Macaca fascicularis: one gene and its partner. The protein of the gene in region 1 purifies or fractionates together with the protein of each later gene. This does not show direct contact. Links are inferred from orthologs where the notes say so. Each region holds a gene or a part of one and is shown in the gene's direction. Other genes may lie near its edges. The genes, in order: FBXO7 and COPS6.

Region 1 (3,813 bases):
CATTTTATTCTTCTAATGTCAAATAATCTGCAATGCAGAAAGAATGGGAGTTTGTTGCTTCAGGCTTATTTGAATTCTGAGCTTGTTTAGCAGTGAGCTTTTGGGTTTGTGCTGTGTTCCACTAAAAGGCCTCATAACTGACAGTCAGTAGAAGGGTGAATTTAGCTTGTCATCATCAGTAAGAGAGATGAATTTATACTCAGTCATATACATACACTCCCCTAACTTTTTGTGATTATGAATATATGGATCTGGTTTTTTGGGACCATTGTGAGTAAACTGTCCTGTAAGGATATTGAATAGACATCCTTGATTTCACACTCATCTTGATCTTTCCAACTAATGTTTGGTGGTTGCATTTATTTCACAAATACTTTATTTGCCAGTGTTGAAGATATGGTTTGAACTGTTCAGACATGATCCCTGATCTTATGAAACTGAAGTTCTAGTAGCAGGGGTAGGGTAGACAGATAATAGCTAAGTAGATAATGACGTTTCCAAGTAGAGCATAGCAGAATAGAGAGTGCTGGAGTCTGAATGAAAGGCATCTCTGAAGAGGTGACATTTGGGCTGAGACTGGAATGATGAGGAGGAGTCAGTCATTTGAAGATCTGGAAGAGCAAATGCAGAGGCCCGAAGGCTGCAATAAAGTTGATCTACTTTTTGGAACTGATGGAAAGCTCATGTGAATAGAGAACAGTGAGAGAGGACGGATGGCATAGGATGCAGTAGGAGAAATGGGAAGAGATCAAACGTTGAGCTTTGGAAGTTATGTTAAGGATTCCAAATAGAAGCTATTAGAAGATTTTAAGTGAAGGAATGATGTGATCTAATTTGTATTTTAAAGGTATTTCATTGAATCTTACATGCTGTCACTTGGAAGACACATTGTTTTATGTAACAGCAGGGGAAAAATGCTGTCAGTTGATATGTGATTGATTCTAGGAAGCATCTTAATTTCAAAGATGTCAAAATACAAAAAAGTACATCTTAGAATTGAGGAAAGCATGGATTAATGATAGAGAATTACTGTATCCTGTCCCCCAGGTGGAGAGTTTTGGCCATTAGAAATCTATAGATTAGGCATTCATTGATAAATAATTTTGATAATTTTCTCAAAACTTTAAGCTTGGTAGGGTCATCTGTGCCTATAGTCCTAGCTCCTCTGGAGGCTGAGGTGAGAGGATTGCTTGAGCCCAGGAATTTGAGGCTGCCATGAGCTGTGATTGTGCCACTGTGCCACTGCACTCCAGCCTGGGCAACAGAGTGAGACCCTGTCTCTAAAAAACAAACAAAAACAAAAATGTAACTGGACATGGTGGCTTATGCCTGTAATCCCAGCAACTCAGGAGGCTGAGGCAGGAGGCTTGCCTGAGGCCAGGAGCTTGAGACCAGCCTGGACAACATAGCGAGACCTTGTCTCTTCATGACTTAGTTCTTCTAGGGTCATACTGTGTGCTTATGTATGCTTCAGATGTGCTGTTGAAGGTAACAGAAGTAGGTAGCTCTTACTGTGCTTATCCATCTTTCTTGGCAGTTCTGATACCCGATTTACAATTACATTGAACTACAAGGATGCCCTCACTGGAGATGAAGAGACCTTGGCTTCCTATGGGATTGTTTCTGGGGACTTGATATGTTTGATTCTTCAAGATGACATTCCAGCGCCTAATTTACCTTCATCCACAGATTCAGAGCATTCTTCACTCCAGAATAATGACCAACCCTCTTTGGCCACCAGCTCCAATGAGACTAGCATACAGGATGAACAACCAAGTGATTCATTCCAAGGACAGGCAGCCCAGTCTGATGTTTGGAATGACGACAGTACGGTGGGTATTAAAGACCAATATATCAAATAGAGTAGGTGATAAGTCATATTGAACACCTCAGTTGAATTCTGTTCCAGTCAGGATAATTATCATCAATAGATTGCACATTATTTTTCATATATATATATATATATATATATATATTTTTTTTTTTTTTTTGAGACGGAGTCTTGCTCTGTCACCAGGCTGCAGTGCAGTGGCACAGTCTCGGCTCACTGCAACCTCTGCCTCCCAGTTGAAGCGATTCTCCTGCCTCAGCCTCCCAAGTAGCTGGGCGTAGAGGTGCACGCCACCACTCCCAGCTAGTTTTTGTATTTTTAGTAGAAACGAGGTTTCAGCATGTTGGTGTGGATGGTCTTGATCTCTTGACCTCGTGATCCTCCTGCCTCGACCTCCCAAAGTGCTGGGATTACAGGCATGAGCCACCGTGCCTGACTGCAGATTATATTTTTATAGAATATATTTTTTTAACTGCTAAATGCCTATACCAATATGGGGCTGGCATCCCAAAGTACCTAGTTTCTGCTTGTTTTGTTCACATACTGTCCTTCAGATGAATTATCCCTTGACTTCTATTACTGTTCCTAAGCTCATGATTCCTAGCCTTGCTTCTCTGATCTGGTCTGCTCATTAAGGCTATGGATGTGGTCCAATTATTTCCAAATGACTTGCAGGATATTTATACTTGCATTTTTAAATTGTCATTGCAGACTTTATATGTTCAACATAAATTTGGAAATATGTGTGCTCATGTTCCCTTCTTTGTCAGTGGCACTGCTGGTTTTCTGTGATTTTTGACTGCTTAAATCTAGCCCATTAATAAGCTTTGTCAGTTTTTCTTTTCCATTTCGGGTTCCAATGGCTTTATTCCTCAGTCTGTTTTCTGGGTTTGCCTTCTTCCTACATGGTTCTGATGCTGTTGTTCCCTTGCTGGCTTTCATTAACTCTTTCTCATAAACTTGTGCTCATAATTTTTTAGCTGAAAAATACCATGTATCTCTAGTTCATTGACCCTGTCATTTTACAGAAGAGGAAAATGACGTCTGTCCTCCTGTACCTGGTGCTCAAGGCTTTCTGGAAAGTTACTCCACTCAACTTTTTTAGGGGTAGTTTCTGTTCTTCCCTCCTTTAAACTGTCATCTCCAATCAGAACAGACCATCATTTCCCCCCGCCCCCACCAGCCAGCACATGCACCTGCTTGCATGCATCTGCATACACACAACCTGGTGACTGCTTTTGTGACTTTGATCTTACTGTTCACCCAGACTGGAACCTGTTACCTTTCCTCCCTCTCTTGTCTATATTTTCTACCCATCTTCCTAAGCCCTTGCCAACCATAGCCCAATAGTTTTCTTTAATTTCTTTGTATTGATTATCTGATTATCTTTATTGCCTTGTACATGCCTCATCATTTTTCCCACTTTTTTTTTTGTGTGACAGTGTACCACTCTCTCACCCAGGCTGGAGTATAGGGCATAATCTCAGCTCACTGCCACCTTACCCTTCTGGAGTCAAGTGATTCTCCCACCTCAGCCTCCCAAGTAGCTGGGACCACAGACACCACCATGCCTGGCTAATTTTTGTATTTTTGGTAGAGATGGGGTTTCACCATGTTGCTCAGGCTGGTCTTGAACTCCTGACCTCAAGTGACCCACCCACCTTGGCCACCCAAAGTAATGGGATTACAGACATGAGTCACCATGCCCAGCCTTTATCCGACCTTTTAATTGTTTGAATGGTGCAGATGATCACTTTTAGTTTTTTAATACCAATACACGTGCCATCTTGTTAATTGTTTTTTGTATGTACACTTATCACCTCAACTTAATTGCTGACCTTAAACATTTTTGGGTATAAGTATTCATGGTAACTTGTCATGGCATTAAGTATAGACATATTAAAAAATACTTTTTAATAGATTGGTAAGTTGTGAAAATTATATCCAGATATGTGGATTTTAGTTTATTTTTAAAATTATTG
Region 2 (4,434 bases), on another chromosome or scaffold:
ACTCTGTCTCGCCCAGGCTGGAGTGCAGTGGTGCGATCTCAGCTCACTGCAGCCTCTCCCTCCCAGGTTCAATCAATTCTTCTGCCTCAGTCTCCCGAGTAGCTGGGACTACAGGCACATGCCACCACGTCCGGCTAATTTTTGTATTTTCAGTAGAGACAGGGTTTCACCATGTTGGCCAGGCTGGTCTCAAACTCCTGACCTCAAGTGATTGGCCAGCCTCGGCCTCCCAAAGTGCTTGGATTACAGGTGTGAGCCACCATGCCTGGCCTTGTGGGGTTATTTTCGAAAGTCCTTGAGACAGTCCCTATATCAGACATGCAAGCATGAGCCCTTCTGCTTGGTGTTCTCATGACTCCAATTTGTTTGGACTTGACAATGTGATTTTTGTCCTGGTATCTGCAACTTTCACAAGATGGAGCAACTCAACACCAGATTCCATCCCAAATTATTCCTTCATTCACTCAAAAAGTATCTAGGCACCAATGTGTTAGGTACCGTGTTGGTCACAGGGGATACCACGATGAACAAGAGAAGGAAACACAGGCTCCTGAATGCGAGAGTGAGGCATGTGGAAAGCAGACACGGAGAGCTGGGTGTGGTGGCTCATGCCTGTAATCCCAGTGCTTTGGGAGGCCAAGGATGGAGGATCGCTTCTGTCAGGGAGTTGGAGACCAGCCTGGACAACCTAGTGAGACTCCTGTCTCTATCAAAATAAAAAAATAATAATAAAATTAGCTGGGTGTGGTGGGGTGCACCTGTAATCCCAGCTACTCGGGAGGCTGAAATGGGAGGATCACTTGAGCCTGAGAGTTTGAGGGTGCAGTCAGCTGATATCAGGCCACTGCACTTCAGCCTGGGCGACAGAGCGAGACCCTGTCTCAAACAAAACAAAACAAACCACCACCACCAGACATGAGGGCCAGTGCAGCTGTAGCCTGAAGATCAAGGGCTAGAAAAGTAGAGGCCAGACCGGGGCCAGATCAGGCAGGGCCTTGCAGGCTGTGGTTAGTTGTCTGGATTTTATTGTGAGGGAAATAACACGACATGTCATTCATTCTGCAACAGCCTTAAGAACTAGGAGTTCTTATCCCAATTTTACAGACGAGGACGATCAATCAAATCGTTAACTAATTTGTCCAAGGTCACCCGCAGGCGACAGGCGGGGACAGGGTCTGGGAAAACCGGCAGGCACCGAGGCCCAGAGGGCGTCGGGCTTCCCCGCACCGAGTGCCGCCCGCCGCGACCCGGGAACTGCCTGCTCCCCGGACGCCAGGCCCGCCGCTTGCCGCGGAGACACAGAACATGCGCTGCTCGCCTTACGGAAGCCGGGAAGGAAGGGGGCGGGGCCGAGGCTGGCGGGCGCGGGGAAAATGGCGGCGGCGGCGGGTGCAGCTACAAACGGGACCGGAGGGAGCAGCGGGATGGAGGTGGATGCAGCAGGTAACGGGCCGTGCGCGGGCGGCTTCCGGAGACCTCCTTCAGGGGTGCGTTGAGGCCTTGCTGTGCTCCCGGGAGAAGGGAGGAGGGCGGAGCAGCAACATCTTTCTCTGGGATAAGTTGCGGGAGGAAAAGTGTGGCCCGGGCTCCGTCGTCCCCCACTGCTATCTTCAGGGAAGAACGTGGGGCCCGGACTCTCACCCTCTCTCTTTCCCTCCACCCTTAGTAGTTCCCAGCGTGATGGCCTCCGGAGTGACTGGGAGTGTTTCCGTCGCTCTCCATCCCCTTGTCATTCTCAACATCTCCGACCACTGGATCCGCATGCGCTCCCAGGAGGGGCGGCCTGTGCAGGGTGAGTGTTGGGCATAGACTCCAGTCTCCTCTCCTTGCTCACCTCCCCCAGACAGTGGTCTTTTCCCCTTCCTTTACTAGATCCAATTCCCCTCCCCCAAATCATCGTTTCCCCAATACTTGGTTCCCACTCATCTCAGACCCTCAGGTCATAGAAGTCTCTTTAACGTTACCTTTTCCATGTCATTCTCTTTCCCAGTGATTGGGGCTTTGATTGGCAAGCAGGAGGGCCGAAATATCGAGGTGATGAACTCCTTTGAGCTGCTGTCCCACACCGTGGAAGAGAAGATTATAATTGACAAGGAATATTATTACACCAAGGAGGAGCAGTGTGAGAGTGGAATAGATGTGGGGAAGAGGAGTGGGAGTTAAAAAAAATGTGCAAGGTGGGGAAGATGGAGAGGGTTGGAAAGAAACCCGAGAGGACGCCAAGAACAGAGGAGAAAAAGTGAAGAGAGTAGCTGGAGAGATCTCAGAAAAAGAACACGTTCAGAGTTCTTTCTCAAAAAGAAAGTAAAGGATGAGAGAAGACAGGATAGAAGGGAGTAATTATTCTAAACTGAGCCAGGATTTGAGAAAGGAGGAGAAGCTGGTGAAAATACACCAGGAGTTTCACATTGAGGAAGGATGGTTTAAAGGACTATGTCAGGCCGGACGCAGTGAATCAGGCCTATAATCCCAGCACTTTGGGAGGCCGAGGCGGGTGGATCATGAGGTCAGGAGTTACAGACCAGCCTGGCAAACATAGTGAAACCCCATCTCTACTGAAAATACAAAAATTAGCCTGGCATGGTGGTGCGTGCCTGAAGTCCCAGCTACTCGGGAGGCTGAGGCAGAATTGCTTGAACCTGGGAGGCAGAGGTTGTGGTGAGCCAAGATCGTGCCACTGCACTCTAGCCTAGGCAACAGAGCAAGACTCAAAAAAAAAAAAAAAAAAAAAAAAAGAATTACTGTGTGTTCTGGCCCTTTCCCCTCCAGTTAAACAGGTGTTCAAGGAGCTGGAGTTTCTGGGTTGGTATACCACAGGGGGGCCACCTGACCCCTCGGACATCCACGTCCATAAGCAGGTATACATGCTCACACCTGTGCATGCTGGGGCAGAGAATGGAGAATGAGGGGAAGGAGAAAGGTGGGGGTCACTGACTTCTGTGCATTGTCCCTCTCTTCCAGGTGTGTGAGATCATTGAGAGCCCCCTCTTTCTGAAGTTGAACCCTATGACCAAGCACACAGATGTGAGTAATACCCCATGCCTACTCTGTCGTGATTGTCACTGTTGCCTTTTACTGTGTGATACTCTTCTATTGGGGAATGCCAGGTGCCACTTACCAGCTGTAACTCTGTCTTAGTCATTTCATCTCCAAACTGTGAAGGGAGGTAATCCCTACTTCACTGGTTTCTTGGGAAGATGAGATGAGAGGAAATGGGTGAAAGCAGCTCGTCCAAATGTTGGCATATAGTGTTCAGGTTTCTCCATCTCCTTCACAGCTTCCTGTCAGCGTTTTTGAGTCTGTCATCGATATAATCAATGGAGAGGTAATACCCTACCCTTGAACCCTCAGATCCTGCTTTTGGCCTCTTTCCTGCTTTTGATTCTCCCTTTGTGGGTTACCTTGCCTTGTAGGCCACAATGCTGTTTGCTGAGCTGACCTACACTCTGGCCACAGAGGAAGCGGAACGCATTGGTGTAGACCACGTAGCCCGAATGACAGCAACAGGCAGTGGAGAGAACTCCACTGGTAATGGAGGGGATTACTTGGAAGTGGGGTTGGAAGGTGTGGCCACATCCCGTCTCAACCTCCTCCTGTCCTCGTCCCTTTGCAGTGGCTGAACACCTGATAGCACAGCACAGCGCCATCAAGATGCTGCACAGCCGCGTCAAGCTCATCTTGGAGTACGTCAAGGCCTCTGAAGCGGGTAGGACAGGGGCTTCCTTGGGCACTTCCCTGGCATTCTTCCTCTCCCTCCTGGGGAAGTGACAGCATCCAAACTAATGCAGCCTCTTTTTGTGCCTTTAGGAGAGGTCCCCTTTAATCATGAGATCCTGCGGGAGGCCTATGCTCTGTGTCACTGCCTCCCGGTGCTCAGCACAGACAAGTTCAAGACAGATTTTTATGATGTGAGTTTAAAACCTGGATGGGGAGGTGGGGCTCATGCTGTCACTTTCACGTGGAGGACCGGGGACTGTTGTTCCCTGGGCATGCCACGAGGGATCCCCTGAGGAATTTGTCCTTTCTGTTCCCTCCCAGCAATGCAACGACGTGGGGCTCATGGCCTACCTCGGCACCATCACGAAAACGTGCAACACCATGAACCAGTTTGTGAACAAGTTCAACGTCCTCTATGATCGACAAGGCATCGGCAGGCGAATGCGCGGGCTCTTCTTCTGAGGAGGGTACTTGAAGGGCTGATGGACAGGGGTCAGGCAACTGTCCCAAAGGGGAGGGCGCTACACTTGAGAGAAACCGCTGTCATTAATAATAAAGGGGAGCAGCCCCCGAGCACCCCTGCTGGTGGCTCTGTCCTCTCTGTTAGGCACCACACTGGTTTGTCAACTTGGATGTTCATCGAGGTTCATCGTGAGCCTTGCTCACAAGCCCTTCTGATGCTTTTCCATGAGGGAGGCACTGCCGTTTCAAGTGACC

The links.
Region 2: the proteins of FBXO7 (region 1) and COPS6 purify together in Homo sapiens (affinity purification with mass spectrometry; 4 studies listed by BioGRID and IntAct, counting the BioPlex papers as one, with this or other methods). This does not show direct contact. The link is inferred for Macaca fascicularis from reciprocal best matches to the Homo sapiens genes FBXO7 and COPS6.

What each region holds. Positions count from the first base shown.
Region 1 is NC_088384.1:19,146,294-19,150,106, reverse strand, and holds part of FBXO7 (F-box only protein 7), read left to right. Parts: intron 1-1,537; coding exon 1,538-1,832; intron 1,833-3,813. UniProt on the Homo sapiens protein: Substrate recognition component of a SCF (SKP1-CUL1-F-box protein) E3 ubiquitin-protein ligase complex which mediates the ubiquitination and subsequent proteasomal degradation of target proteins and plays a role in several biological processes such as cell cycle, cell proliferation, or maintenance of chromosome stability.
Region 2 is NC_088377.1:48,741,901-48,746,334, forward strand, and holds COPS6 (COP9 signalosome complex subunit 6), read left to right. Parts: upstream 1-1,360; 5' UTR 1,361-1,373; coding exon 1,374-1,443; intron 1,444-1,666; coding exon 1,667-1,792; intron 1,793-1,990; coding exon 1,991-2,122; intron 2,123-2,769; coding exon 2,770-2,858; intron 2,859-2,961; coding exon 2,962-3,024; intron 3,025-3,277; coding exon 3,278-3,325; intron 3,326-3,413; coding exon 3,414-3,528; intron 3,529-3,613; coding exon 3,614-3,706; intron 3,707-3,807; coding exon 3,808-3,908; intron 3,909-4,038; coding exon 4,039-4,179; 3' UTR 4,180-4,298; downstream 4,299-4,434. UniProt on the Homo sapiens protein: Component of the COP9 signalosome complex (CSN), a complex involved in various cellular and developmental processes.